2 linked regions of the Arabidopsis thaliana genome follow. The protein of the gene in region 2 interacts with the protein of the main gene of each other region in a biochemical or structural test. Each region holds a gene or a part of one and is shown on either strand. Other genes may lie near its edges.

The links. The genes of interacting proteins can lie anywhere in the genome.
Region 1: of the proteins of MPK5 (region 2) and AT5G65590, one has a biochemical effect on the other in vitro, tested with the Arabidopsis thaliana proteins (one large-scale study listed by BioGRID).

The regions. Positions count from the first base shown.
Region 1 is NC_003076.8:26,211,122-26,215,268, reverse strand, and holds AT5G65590 (Dof-type zinc finger DNA-binding family protein), read left to right. Parts: upstream 1-2,035; 5' UTR 2,036-2,234; coding exon 2,235-3,185; 3' UTR 3,186-3,523; downstream 3,524-4,147. UniProt on the Arabidopsis thaliana protein: Transcription factor that binds specifically to a 5'-AA[AG]G-3' consensus core sequence.
Region 2 is NC_003075.7:6,890,279-6,894,930, forward strand, and holds MPK5 (MAP kinase 5), read left to right. Parts: upstream 1-1,647; 5' UTR 1,648-1,864; coding exon 1,865-2,037; intron 2,038-2,291; coding exon 2,292-2,421; intron 2,422-2,491; coding exon 2,492-2,629; intron 2,630-2,705; coding exon 2,706-3,038; intron 3,039-3,134; coding exon 3,135-3,318; intron 3,319-3,394; coding exon 3,395-3,567; 3' UTR 3,568-3,929; downstream 3,930-4,652. Other genes in the region: AT4G11340 (Disease resistance protein (TIR-NBS-LRR class) family), read right to left, coding at 3,930-4,190, 4,361-4,433.

The DNA.
Region 1 (4,147 bases), on a different chromosome or scaffold from region 2:
TTCTACGACCTTTGATAACGATATAACATTTGACCAATCTTTGATGAAACTGCGTCTTTTACCTTAAGTAATTTCCTTTGTCATGTCTCTTTCTCGCTTCAACAACCAATTACAGATAGATATAACATTAAATTTAAACGCCGTAATAAATTTTGTACTGCTGTTACAAAAATATTATCAAATATAGAAAAATGAGATCCGAGTTCGAGAGTGACAACGGTGACGAAAATATGTATGTTGTAATATGCTACTTAGAAATTTTTTTAGTGTCAAGTATTATTACGAATTAAATTTTCCAGCTGAAAATGGTTAAACTTAAAATTATCCATCCGTTATAATGTTACAAGATTTTCAGCAATAAACTTAAGTTGAAAAAATTATAAAATCGCTAGTATATGCTTTATTTTATATAAGTAATTTATAAAATCGGTGTAACTTGTATACTTGTGGATGATCGGTTTAGTCTCACGAGAGATCCATTCCTCGAGGGCTCTCACATGTTTCCCATTTTGTCTTCTCCGTTCTCTCGTGTTTCTTCACAGATGGAGACGTTTAATATATCAATCATCAAAACACAATCTCCTCTCTTTTTCTATTTTTGGATTTATTAATTTTTATATTATATATACACTTGTCTGTATTGGCCTCATATCTAAAAACCAATTGAATCTGATTTTGATGCCAGTTCAATTTGAACATATGTCAATCACTTTGGCTTTTAACTGAAAACTTAAATTTCATGTACATGTATTAGCGACACAAACAATGTTTTTAGAAATGGGTTTGGTTACAAAAAGATGTCAGAGAGTTAAGCAAACGTTACTTTCTTCAGAGTTAAACCCTACCCTCTTCTTAATAAGGCTTTTCTAGATTACAAGATTCGTAATCCCAAATTAATGTCCGTAAAATATAACTTCAAAAATGTTGCTTAAGTGTATAAAATTACTATATATTGTATGTTTCAGTCTAATTACTATTCTGAATGACGATTTGGACTCACATAAATCCAAAAATTTCAGAGAGTATACGTATATGCACAATGAACTATGCCTGCGTAGTACATATTAATACTTATCCATTTATTCGATTTCTTGGCAAACCCCCCCCCCCCCCCCCCCCAATAACTTACATGCACAAGAGATATCCAGAAGAGAAAATAAAATATATATGTTTCGTAAATTTTGTTCCAATAGTTTTGGTTTCCTTAATAGAGTTGCATACGCTTGACAGCTATATAAGTATATAGGTGTATGTAAAGGAAGAAAACATTATTTGTGACTGTAAATATGTTAATATTGTCTACGTATAAAGATGGTGCAGTGCACACTTCACACATATAAAAAAAAAACGTTACCTCAACAATAGAAACAAGACACATAACAAATTCTATCCGATTTGTTCCGATCAATTGCACAGTTATATATGTTCTTCTGTCTTTTCTGCCACTTCATGTCTCTCTCTCATCTTCTCCTTTTGTCTCCATTATCTCTCACTCATGCCTCTCTCTCTCTCTATTGACATTCATAAGTACAATGTACATATACAGACATTAACTACAACGAGATTTTATGAAGAATTTAATCCAATGTAATAAAAGAACACCACAGTTTTGATAAACATGGCGGTTTATGATTATTCAAGTCTATGACTCTGTAAAGGAACAAGAACACGAAGACCACAGTGTACAACACAAATAATATTGTGATTCTCCTTGTGAACACTTATTATATACGTATTTTTACTATATTGAATATTATGTATAACAACTGTTATGTAAACTATTTCTGCAATTAAATTTTACTAATCATCAAAAAAGAAAAAAAAAAAAATTACTAATCATCAACATTTGAAAAACTAATAACAAAACACTAAATAAAAGTTAATGTATTTAGTCATTAAACACTGTTTTATTTTCTTAGGTAATCAAAGTCTCTCCAACTTTTAAAAGACAAATCACTTTTTTTTAATAATATACTTCAAATTAATAAAATATCTATGTAGAATTATGCAAAACAAACTTTTTTACACACAAACCCGACAATACATATATATCCCCATATTCTCACATATATACAATAATTTTGTATATATAAAATATAAACCATACGAAACCCTTTTACCGACTGTTCTCTCTCTCCTCTCCTACTTTACTTATTTCATTCAAAGCAAGAAATCGAAAAAGGACCCCAAACTTTTTTCTTCCTTCATCTTTCTCTCCTCCCATCATCATCACCATGTCCTCCCATACCAATCTCCCCTCTCCCAAACCAGTTCCTAAACCAGATCACCGTATCTCCGGTACATCCCAAACCAAGAAACCACCGTCTTCCTCCGTAGCTCAAGACCAACAAAACCTAAAATGCCCTCGTTGCAACTCTCCAAACACAAAGTTCTGTTACTACAACAACTACAGTCTCTCTCAACCTCGTCACTTCTGCAAATCTTGTCGCCGTTACTGGACACGTGGCGGTGCTCTAAGAAACGTCCCCATCGGTGGTGGTTGCCGGAAAACCAAAAAATCTATCAAACCTAATTCCTCCATGAACACACTTCCTTCGTCTTCTTCCTCTCAGAGGTTCTTCTCATCAATCATGGAAGATTCATCCAAATTCTTCCCTCCTCCGACAACAATGGATTTTCAGCTGGCCGGATTATCTCTCAACAAAATGAACGATCTTCAACTTTTGAATAACCAAGAAGTTCTTGATCTTAGGCCCATGATGTCCTCGGGCCGAGAAAACACACCCGTTGATGTCGGGTCGGGTTTATCCCTAATGGGTTTTGGAGATTTCAACAACAACCATTCACCGACGGGGTTCACAACCGCCGGAGCAAGCGACGGAAACTTAGCTTCTTCTATAGAGACTTTGAGTTGTTTAAACCAAGATTTACACTGGAGGCTTCAGCAACAGAGGATGGCGATGCTTTTTGGTAATTCTAAGGAAGAAACTGTTGTCGTCGAGAGGCCACAACCTATTCTTTATCGGAATCTTGAGATCGTAAACTCATCATCGCCGTCGTCGCCGACGAAGAAAGGAGATAATCAGACAGAGTGGTATTTTGGTAATAACAGTGATAATGAAGGAGTGATTAGTAATAATGCTAATACAGGAGGAGGAGGAAGTGAATGGAACAATGGAATTCAAGCTTGGACTGATCTTAATCATTATAATGCATTGCCTTGAATCTTGGTAAGTTTAAGAAACTATATAATCTATAATTTCATATAATCTATTTGCTATGTGTTGTGATGTAATGCCAAAACTATTTATGTTTGTAGTTTTTTTTTTTTTTTGTATTCTTTTTGTTGTCGTTGTTGGTTACTATTCTAGTATTTTAAGTTTCAATTTGTAAACAAAAAAACAAAATTGGGGGAGATATTCAAGAATGGAGAGAGATACTTACATTATATACTGGTGATTTGTCTGTATTGAATTGAAAGGTGGAACAGAACTTACTGTGTTTAATTATCGGAAAGCTCTTGGTTTGGTGATGAAATGTTCACTTAATGACTTATTGGATGGTTGTTATCCCAAGGTTAATTATAATTTAAAATTTTCTTCAAAAAGTCATTTTCAGTAAACAGATAATATGTCTCCTTGGGATTGGTCATAGTACCTTTAAATAAGTCTAATTATACAGACATTGAGCCAAGCAGAATAACTGACCATCCACATCATATGTCATACCCAAGTGAAAAAATAAAAACTCTGTGCATTATTCGTTAAAACATCGATATTTGTGCTGTATATTGAACAATATAGATTGATGTTACATTAAAAATATGTCAGTGAAGTGTGGTCTAGTTAATATGTATGAGCATATAGCATCTTAGTAGACACTGAATTATGTCGAGTCTATGTGAAACATAGAGATCAGGCCTTAGCCTTCTGTTGCAGTCTCTCGTTAGCCCCATCCTTAGCTTCTCTCTACATATATATGAACACGCATATATACGTATATGCATGTTTGTTTATGTAGGTATGTGTACTATGTAGTATGTACATCTTATCACTGATCTCTAGATCGCAAGGTCTGCAAGAAGCCAAGAACTAATGCATAAGTAGGCATGTGAAAACGGACTAAACTTAATTGTTTCAACTATTGCGTTAAACTCTCAAAAACATACCCAACACTGAAGTTTCTT
Region 2 (4,652 bases):
AATCCAATTTAGAATTGTACAACATATATATTGGAAGTTCCGTTGTGTCATACCGTCACACTAATAATACAGCATACCAATAATAGAGCGCAAACGTTTCACATTGAATAGTTCACCACATATCAACTTGAGTAAATTATTATGCTTAGAGTTGTTGTCTTTTTGTTTTTTTATTTTTTTTGAATATCTGGAAATTCAAACTCAAAGACCTTACATTTTCTAGAGGCGGGATCCACACCAGATTAAATTCATATCCTTTGGGAAAGAAATCTCTTCCAACATGCCTCAAACCCAGTATTTCTAACTGAGAGATTTACCTACATAATTCAACAATCATGTCTATTATGTTTTCAATTTAGGATATCTAAAAATATTGTGAAGATAAACGAAACAAAACTTGAGGGAAAAAAAACAGTCACGTGAGTCATGAGTTATAAAGCATGGATAATGTTGGAGATCTAATTAATCTAATTGAATGCCACATCAAATTAAGCCAATCAGTGGAGAAGATCAATAATAAAAGTGAATTGGATCTGCCACTACACTTTTAGCATGAATATGGCTAAAAGAGATTGGTATTGGTAATGGTATCGTTGTCGGAGATTGTCGTACCAATTAAATAACATGTAATTATTGGATATATATTATATTGTGTCGGCCTAGTCATATTTGATGTGTAAGTGCGAGTGATTTGAGTTAGATATGGGGTATTTTACGAGGAAAATATTGAACAATTTAGGGTATTTTAAGGGTTGTAGTTTGAGCATCACAAGTTAATTATATTTAGGTTCTGCGTAAATTTGACTCAAAAGATTAAGTTATCAAAAGAAACCTCGTATAATATGATCCATATTAATTTTCTTTTTTTTATATAGAAAAGTTGAAGATTATGAGTAAATTGGTAAACTCGCGATATTCCAGAGTTCAAAACGTAATTTTAATGACAATTTGGTGAATAGTATAAATTAATATATTAAGTAAAAGATAACATTCTATTCGATATTGGTTTAATATGTCAACTGTTATATGTACATATAAGATGTTACTGATATATTAAGTGAATAATATGATATTCACCAAAAAAAATTGTATAATGAATGTGACTTTGAGTTGAAAGTTTGAAAACGAAGAGACTATAACATTTGAAGGAATCTATGGAATACGGGTGTGGAACCAATAGTGGAGGCCCTCTTCATAAACCGAGTTTCCCGAGATCCAAATTGTGCTGATGGAGCGGTTTCTAACGTTCTTGTCGATAATACTTGCAAGCTTGGCCGAAGGAACAGAAGAGTTACCATGACGTCTACCATTACGCTCGCACCACAAAGTATGAATTGATTATATGGAATACATACCTTAGAATGAAAGTATGTAGTTTTGGATGAGAATCATCAAGTAGAAGAGGAGAGATTAAACTCCAACTTGTATTGTATCTCAGTATCTGTTGCGAAGAATTCCTTTAGTGAGAGATGTGTATTGATAGGTGAAAAGGAAAAGGTCTCTTACTTTCATATTACGTGGGCCTCATAACATAGACCAGAGCTGATAGCATACCTCTCTCTATATTAAATAGATGGGCCAGGCCCAAACGTTTACCCATCTGTATTTATTACAAAGTACACGTGGCTGATGGACATGTGACGATACGTTTTGACCTATTCAAAATATTCAAACTAATGAAAAAGAGTCGTTGTCCTCTGACGCGTCTCTCTCTATCTCCTTAGATTTTCAAAGTTTTCAACATTCAACAAAATCATTATTTTAATTTTGCAGAGACGAATCGAATCGATCTCATCTCCAAAAATCTTGTATTCAAAGTTTGATTTTCTGGGTTTCTTCTGTATTATCTCGATATTTGAAAAAAATGGCGAAGGAAATTGAATCAGCGACAGATTTAGGTGATACTAACATCAAAGGAGTTCTTGTTCATGGAGGAAGATATTTTCAATACAATGTTTATGGAAACTTGTTTGAAGTTTCTAATAAGTATGTTCCTCCTATTCGACCTATTGGTAGAGGAGCTTACGGTTTTGTCTGGTACAACTTCTACCCTTTTGTGTATTTCATATTCTTGTTTCTTACTTAGTATTTGTAACCCTAATTAGATAAAGAACTAAGTATTGGTATAGGTTTTTGAATTAGGGTTGCTTGCAAAATTTGATCTTTTTTGGATTTAAGAAAGGTTCTGTCTTCAAAATCATAGTTTAAATTGAATGAATTTGATGATTTGTTTGTGTTTGTGTTTATGTATAAGCAAAATGATTCATGAGAGTATTGGTTTATTGTTATAGTGCTGCAGTAGATTCGGAGACACACGAAGAGATTGCGATAAAGAAGATAGGTAAAGCCTTTGATAATAAAGTAGATGCAAAGAGAACATTGAGAGAGATTAAGCTACTTCGTCATTTAGAACACGAGAACGTAAGTTTTGTACTCTATTTTCGCGGTAAACGATTAGAGTTTCTAGCTAATGTGGTCTTGACTTGTACAGGTTGTTGTTATAAAAGATATCATTAGACCACCAAAGAAGGAAGATTTCGTTGATGTTTATATAGTTTTTGAGTTAATGGATACTGATCTTCATCAGATTATTCGATCAAACCAATCTTTGAATGATGATCATTGTCAGGTACGGTTTTTACTCTGCTATATTTGATACTATGGTTGATTTAATCACAAGTGATTCACTTTTTCTTCTTTTGCAGTACTTCTTGTATCAGATTCTACGAGGACTCAAATATATTCATTCAGCAAATGTTTTACATCGTGACCTTAAGCCGAGTAATTTGCTTTTGAATTCGAATTGCGATCTTAAGATTACTGACTTTGGTTTGGCAAGGACTACATCAGAAACAGAGTATATGACAGAGTATGTTGTAACACGATGGTACAGAGCACCAGAGCTGCTTCTTAATAGTTCTGAGTATACATCTGCTATTGATGTATGGTCTGTTGGTTGCATATTTGCTGAGATTATGACAAGGGAACCGCTTTTCCCGGGGAAGGATTACGTTCATCAGCTTAAACTTATCACTGAGGTATGATGTTCTGTTTTAGAAAGATCTGTACAAATGTTGGAAACTTTTATTTGTGTGTTGCAATGTGTTTATGAGTTGTTTCATGTGGTTGAGTAGTTGATAGGATCACCTGATGGAGCGAGTCTAGAGTTTCTCAGAAGCGCGAACGCGAGAAAATATGTTAAGGAGCTACCTAAGTTCCCAAGACAAAACTTTTCAGCTAGGTTTCCTAGTATGAATTCTACAGCTATCGATCTACTAGAGAAAATGCTCGTGTTTGATCCAGTAAAACGTATCACGGGTATGATGAGAAAAATTGTACATAGCGAGATTGGCATATGGGTGATGAATCCTTGATCATACTCTTTGTTTTGCAGTTGAGGAAGCACTGTGTTATCCTTACTTGTCAGCTCTTCACGACCTTAACGACGAGCCTGTTTGTTCCAACCATTTCAGTTTCCATTTTGAGGATCCGTCTTCCACTGAAGAAGAGATAAAGGAGCTTGTGTGGCTCGAATCTGTGAAGTTCAATCCTCTGCCGAGCATTTAAAACATTATTTAAGAAGGGGAAAGCAAGTTTTATACTCTGACATTGAGCAAAACAAATTAGTAGTGTTTAAGCTCTGTTTCTCCTTCATCTCATGTTGATCGTTGTTTAAGCTATTTCACTAGTTAAAAAAGCTGTCTTGCAACTCAAGAAATTGTTCTATAAGGATCCTTGTAACCCAAGACATATCTTTAGTAGTTATGTCCATTCTTATTATCAGGATGTCTTAGATAGTGTTCTGTTTCTTCTACATATCATGTTGTTATCTTGTAACTCAAGAAATTAAATTAAAAAGCTATCTTTGTTTAGACTTGTATCATGTCACTTGGATTGTACTCGTAGAAAATGGGAAAAACTCGATGTGTTTATTCATCTCCAGCAGTTTCTTCAAGCACTACGTCGAGCTCTTGCAAATTTTGGTAATGAACACTAGTTCGATCCTTCACTCTCGAAACTCGACAAAAAAGTCTATCAACTTCGTCTCTTGACTCTATTCGAGTGATATTTTCATCATCTAGAAGGACGTTGATCCCACTCCTTCGTAACGCGGCTCTAAGAAGGCTGGAGAACTTGTTGCGGATCTCTCGACTCCGAAAACTTATGTAAACTTGATGTTGCGGCGTAATCTAGAGATTTTACAATGATTAGCCACTAGATTTATACAATAATTATATATATATAATTAACATACAGTATGTTCTTTTGTACACACCTTTTTTTTTTCTTTGTCATTGGCAATATTTCAATTTCTCTAATTCTAGAACTACATAATTTTTGATTTAATAGGATTACGTACGTGTGATGAGGAAACGTTGTCAAGCATTGCCTTAACCTTCTCGACGATTTCATTTACGAAGGTTGCTTGGTTGCTTCCAAAACAAAGTAAGAAAGAAAACAAATCATATAAGTATGATAACAATGTCGCAAATGGAAGAAACTACTGTTAAATGACCTCATTTTTAGTACGTAAGATTTTGAAAGTTATAAAGACTAATTTCCACATATTAGGAATCTAACATTCAAATATTAAAAGATTTAATACTGTTTATACATAGTCAATACTCAATACATTCATTTTTAACTCGGTT